Linked DNA regions of Rattus norvegicus. The protein of the gene in region 1 interacts with the protein of each later gene in a biochemical or structural test. Links are inferred from orthologs where the notes say so. Each region holds a gene or a part of one and is shown on either strand. Other genes may lie near its edges.

The links. The genes of interacting proteins can lie anywhere in the genome.
Region 2: the proteins of Erbb4 (region 1) and Nrg2 form a complex in vitro, tested with the Homo sapiens proteins (2 studies listed by BioGRID). The link is inferred for Rattus norvegicus from reciprocal best matches to the Homo sapiens genes ERBB4 and NRG2.

The regions. Positions count from the first base shown.
Region 1 is NC_086027.1:78,042,772-78,046,503, forward strand, and holds the start of Erbb4 (receptor tyrosine-protein kinase erbB-4 precursor), read right to left. Parts: upstream 2,836-3,732; 5' UTR 2,803-2,835; coding exon 2,721-2,802; intron 1-2,720. UniProt on the Homo sapiens protein: Tyrosine-protein kinase that plays an essential role as cell surface receptor for neuregulins and EGF family members and regulates development of the heart, the central nervous system and the mammary gland, gene transcription, cell proliferation, differentiation, migration and apoptosis.
Region 2 is NC_086036.1:27,892,293-27,894,673, reverse strand, and holds part of Nrg2 (pro-neuregulin-2, membrane-bound isoform), read left to right. Parts: coding exon 1-741; 3' UTR 742-2,381. UniProt on the Homo sapiens protein: Direct ligand for ERBB3 and ERBB4 tyrosine kinase receptors. Concomitantly recruits ERBB1 and ERBB2 coreceptors, resulting in ligand-stimulated tyrosine phosphorylation and activation of the ERBB receptors.

The DNA.
Region 1 (3,732 bases):
TAAAATTTTCCCTAGAAACATCTTGAAGATCGCACAAGGGAATCACCCACTGTATGTTTTTATTCCGTTCACATCCAGCAGTAAATAAGGTGCATTCCTTCTGCTTAAGAAATTAGCATTTCAAAAATATGCCACTTCCCCCTGAACTCCAAGCGTGTCTAATAATGCGAGAAGCAGATTGTCTTCCCTCGTTTCCTTAATTTGTTTCATCTAAAAGCAATTCACTCAACATCTTGTCGCCCTCTGGCAGCTTAGTTTACTTATCCGCACTTAATTTCTCATTTGGACCAAAACAAACTCCTCCAAACTGCTGCCGACTGCTAACCGCGAGAGAGGAGACGCGCGCTATGTATTTACTTGGATAGACAGCCACACACGCACAGGCGCAAACACAGAGCCTCGCTCTCACCAGACAGCGTCTTGTTTTTATAATAGCACTACATTAAAACCAGCTGAACTTTCTCTGCCAGGTGCGGTGGAGGCGCCTGGAAAAAAAAGAAGTCCCTGGGGGCACAGACAGTTTCCAATAGATCACCTAAGTATGCTTGTTGCAATTATACCAGGGATGCACCCGAGAGCTTTTCTTTGTGCGGCCCTTTCATCTAGATCACTTTGTGTTTTGAACAAGTGAGTCTCTCTTTTGTGTCCCCAGAATTTCAAGTACAGAGTCACACACACACACACACACACACACACACACACACACACACACACACGAAACAACAATGGCACGCTAATCCTTGTGCTTCTAAATGGGCTCACTTGTGGGTCTGACAATTCGCCCAGGGAAAGGAGCAGAGAGAGCTAAGGAGCAAGCTGGTGTCGTCTGAGACGCGGAAGGGGACAGCTACAGAACTAATTTGGATTACATTCCTTGCCTAAATTCTGAAAAGGGCTCTTCGGCATAGCCCAACCGGGAGCTGTAGAGTTAATACCAATTGCTGTGGACTTGAGGGGGGATCTCCCAGCGGCCCAGGCCATGCCAGACAGCCCCCTGGTAGGGTGGCCTGATAGAAATTCCTCTCGGCTAAGCCTGCATGACAGTTGCGAGTGTCTTTGAATGGGTCAATGTGCATAATCAACCCATTGAAGGGAAAGGCAAGGGGCTCCGAGTGGGAAGCTAGAAAGGGATGTATCTAGGCGGCCGCCTGGAATCTCAAGTCCTTGCTGCCGCTCTGATTCCAGAGGTGGCTGGAGCGCAGGATCTGGAATGCACGAAGAATCTCGGAGTCACTGGGAGTATGCAAACGGCCAGCACAAATGGCGAGCTTGTGCCACTCGAAGGTCATTTTGAACAGCTCAGAGATTGTAACTTGTTATTTACTAGGCGAGGAGGAAGAGGCGGGAGCGGGGGCGGAGCGGGAAAACTAGCAAGCAGCCGCTTTCTCGGTGAGGTCAGAAGGACACCCTCTAGGGACCTAAAGCTCTCCCTGTCGCCACTGCTGAACGCTTTATCTTCTCAAGCTGACTCCCACGTTCCCGCCACCAGCCCCGGAAGGTTCCGGAAATCTCTCTGCCTTCTCCAAAAGCCCTCTTCTCGCCCCTCTCAGCCGGGTCAGACACACCGGTTCTCCTTAGTCCTTTCGTGTCCCCTCCTCTCATCCGGGAGAAACTCCCAAGAGTCAAAAAACTTTGAGCTCCTCTACGTCTCAGCCGCTGTCATTGGCCTTGGCGGCCCCAGCACGCCAGCGACTCTGTGCTGCCTCTCGGGGTCAATTAGTCGTTTTTCTGTCCAAATACCTAGGGCTTGGGCGATCGGGCCAACAGTGGCGGCACTCAGGAAGCCGCCACCCGGCCCGCCTCGGGCTAAGTCAATGAGTGCCACCCGCGGGCTCTGCAGCCTGGCGGGGCAGTAAACAGAAGTTCAGGCCAACCCCAAGTTGCACTACTGGAAGAACTCTTCCCGGAGCCAAGACCAGCACCGGGAGGGAAGGCCGGGCTCCGGGCTCAGTATGCCAGGATTTTTTTTTTCTTAAGAGATCTTGCTGGCAGGCGAGCCAGCCCCCCCCCCCTTCTCGCCCCAAGTCAATCGAAAGACAGCCCCGAGATGCCAACCAAGAAGGCCCAGAGTCCCTGGCCTCTGGCCGAGGCGCGCACCCGGTGCGCTCCAGCTGCCCGGATAGGGCTGAGCGTCCGATGTGACCCCGCAGGGTACGGGAGACTCGGGCCGGCGGCCGCGTGCCAGCTTGCTCAGGTGCCAACCCCGCTCCCCAGCCGCGCTCCGCCGCAGCCCTGCACCCCGGGAAGGCCAGCCAGGCTCAGCCCGGGAACCTCCTGGCGGCCCGAAGAGGTGCAGAGATTCTCCGGTTTGGTTTGATTATTTTTCCCTTCCCAGCCGGAGGAGGAGGGAACCTCCACTGACGGGGCTTAGGTCTCCCACGCCCCGAACAACGGGCGCCACCAGAAGCGATCCCGCTTAGGCTCCCAGAAAACGCGCCAGAAAGAAAGAAGGGGGCTAAAGAGAGGGCGAGAGGGGGGACAATAATACAGAGGGAGGCAAGAAAGAGGAGTCATTTGTAGCATCAATAAAAACACACGCACGCACGCACACACAAAGGTAAGTTTGGGATGGAGCAAGGGGCGACCCAAGCCAGAAGCAAGGTCCCTACGGTCCCTCAAGCCGGAGGGTGACAGAGGAACGAGGGGAGAAGGGAGCCACCGGAGGCGGTGGCGGGTTCAACAGCTGGAGCGCGACTGGGAACCGCGAGACCGCGACCCACCTGACTGAGAAGCGCTGGGCTGGACGGTCCTGGCTGCCACCAGAAGGCTCCCCCAGACCCACAGTCCCGTCGCCAGCTTCATTTTTGGCAAGTCTCAGATCCCGCGCTGACAATTACATGTCCAAATACCATAGCCACTTGCGGGCACGCGGAGGAGATCTCCCCCCCTCAGCCGGGAGCGCGTGGGGGGCGCGAGGGGGGCGGGCGCGGCGCGCTCTGTGCACGGGCTTCCCGGGGTTGGCGAGCCAGTCGGCGCTGGTGGCGGCTTCCAGGACCCGGGGACCCGCGGACCCAGCAAGGGGCCGCGAAGGAGGGCGCGCGGATGGGAGTGTGCGCGACTGTGCGGCTGGTGCTCCGAGCACAACCGTACAGCTAGTTTCCGGAGTGATCCTCTGCTCGCCCGTTCACTCCTCACTTTCTCGCTCGCTCTCTCTCCTTCTCACTGGTTGGTCAACAATAAAAAGAAAGAGGGGGAATAAAGGCTTCCAAAAAAAGTTGATTGCGAAGAGGCGGCAGGGTTCCGGCCTCTCCCCCCAAAACCAGGCTATGTTCAGCTCTCTCTTCAGTCTCCTTGCATCTCCTGTCCAAATCTGGAGGGAAAAGGAGGGGGGGTGCTTCTTTCCTTCTCCCCGATCCTGTGCCCCTTTTTTTCCACTGTCAGCTTTCCTCACACTTGTCCAGCCATTGCAGTAATTAAAGCTCCGAGCGTCATTTCCAACGCTCCGCGGTCTCCAGCCGCAGCCCCACAGAGAAATTAATAAGACTCAGGGAGAAAGATTTTTTAAAAAAGAAAAGAAAAGAAAAGAAAGAAAAAAAGAGGGGAGTGGGGGTGGGAATCAAACAACCCTCCACGCAACCAGCCAGGCTTTCCTCCGCTGCGCAAGCCCCGCCCCTGCTCTGACCCATGTAGCCACGCCCTCCCCCTAAGGAGAAATCTTATTGGCTCAGACACTCCCCAAAATCCACTGCCCCTAGAGTTGGGAAAACACCTGTCAGGCAGTGGGAGCACGGT
Region 2 (2,381 bases), on another chromosome or scaffold:
CCCGCGCGCCTTTCGCCCGTGGACTTCCACTACTCGCTGGCCACCCAGGTGCCGACTTTCGAGATCACGTCGCCCAACTCTGCCCACGCCGTGTCGCTGCCACCCGCAGCGCCCATCAGCTACCGCCTAGCGGAGCAGCAGCCGCTCCTGCGGCACCCAGCGCCGCCCGGCCCGGGGCCAGGGCCCGGAGCGGACATGCAGCGCAGCTACGACAGCTACTACTACCCGGCGGCGGGGCCCGGGCCGCGGCGCGGCGCCTGCGCGCTGGGAGGCAGTTTGGGCAGCCTGCCCGCCAGCCCCTTCCGCATCCCGGAGGACGACGAGTACGAGACCACGCAGGAGTGCGCGCCCCCGCCACCGCCGCGGCCGCGCACGCGCGGCGCGTCCCGCAGGACGTCGGCGGGGCCGCGGCGCTGGCGGCGCTCCCGCCTCAACGGGTTGGCTGCGCAGCGCGCACGCGCAGCGCGGGACTCGCTGTCGTTGAGCAGCGGTTCGGGCTGCGGCTCGGCGTCGGCCTCGGACGACGATGCGGACGACGCGGACGGGGCGCTGGCGGCCGAGAGCACGCCTTTCCTCGGCCTGCGAGCGGCGCACGACGCGCTGCGCTCGGACTCGCCGCCGCTCTGCCCGGCGGCGGACAGCAGGACTTACTACTCCCTGGACAGCCACAGCACGCGCGCCAGCAGCAGACACAGCCGGGGGCCGCCCACGAGGGCAAAGCAGGACTCCGGGCCCCTCTAAGGCCTCCCGCCTCGCCCGCCTCACGTCTCCGAGGAGAGCGGAGACCACCGACTGGAGAGGGAAAAAGGAGCGAACAAAGAAATAAAAATATTTTTATTTTCTATAAAAGGAAAAAAGTATAACAAAATGTTTTATTTTCATTTTAGCAAAAAAAATTGTCTTATAATACTAGCTAACGGCAAAGACGTTTTTATAGGGAAACTATTTATATGTAACATCCTGATTTACAGCTTCGGAAAAAAAAAAGAAACAACAAAAAAAAAAAAGAGAGATGGGCCAATTTTTTTGACTCTTTAATAGAAACCTATATTGTGGTGCCTTTTGCTGTACGCTAATCTGGGGCTCCTGGAGAGCCGTCTGGGGTGCAGTGTGGGGATGGGCGCTTATAGGATCCCAAACTGGTGGGGGTGAGAAAAGGCAGGTAAAGAAGAGACTGTGAGGTTCTAATGGTTCTGAGGGTAATGAACAATGAGGAAGAAGATGAAGATAAGACGAAATTTTATCTTCCCCAGTCCAGATCTGGAGTCCTGAACAGAGAGGGCAGGGATCCTAGCCTTCGAGCTGGAATTGAGATGGGGTTATTTCCAGGAGGAGACACAGGCCTCCCGTTACAGCAACTAGAATGGGGAAGGTCCTCCCCAGCCCTCACAGCTGCTAAGGGAAAGAGGACAGAGAAGGCTGTCTCCCCACCAGCCCCCCCGCCTAGGGAGGGGGCAGCTCTACCAGGGGCCCAACCTTCATGGCTCCTCCTCCCCTGCGGCCTCCAGGATGTCCTCTGTCCTCTGCAGCACCTTCGTTTACAGGTCGTCTTTTCTATTTTACGCCTGCATGTCCTTCGCATTTCAGATTCTTTAGATTGAATGCATGGTCACGCTGGGACCCGGAAGAGCCACTCCAACAGTGTATTCGATTCCCCTTTTAGCAATAAAGTAACACCATATCCTCACAGCCCAGCTCCCAACCCACCTATGACTTTCATCTTCCAGTCCTGCCCTCCCCAGCCAGCCCTCACAACTGGATCCAATGCTAATTTGTCAAGAAAAAAAAAAAAAAAAAAAGAAAGGCAGTTGTCTAAAAAGCCAACAAAAATCCCGAACAGAAACAAATGGGAGCCCTGACATGTCCGAGCACCTGACTGTTGACACTTGAACATTTTTATATTATAAATAAAATCAGAAATAACTCCTGTTTGACTGTGTGTACCTAGCCCCAGGTGAGGAGGGAAGATAGAAGGAGGGCCTAGGATGAGGCATGTGGGTACTGGAAGAAAAATTGGATAGGGCCAAGGTAGTCCCCGAGCGGAAGTGACCCTCTCTCCAGTCCCTCTGGCCCCAGCTCCCAGGACCTGCTCCAAGTCTTCCTTCCAAATCATTTATAAGGTGTCCCCCTGGGTGCTAAGGAACCCAGCCAAGGGACTGACGCAAATCGTTCTGCTTTAAACTCAGCCTCAGAACTCTAGCCCAGTTCCTGCCCTGCAGCGGGAAGCTGGACTGAGGCAACAGTTTTCTGCCCAGGTGGGTGAAGAGGAAAGGGTTGTGGGGTTGGCACTGGGGCAGCGGAGGCAAAGATGACCCTTGGGGCTTCAGGCATGTCACAGGCAGAGTCTGGACATGTAAGACAACATAATGGGCACCCTCATT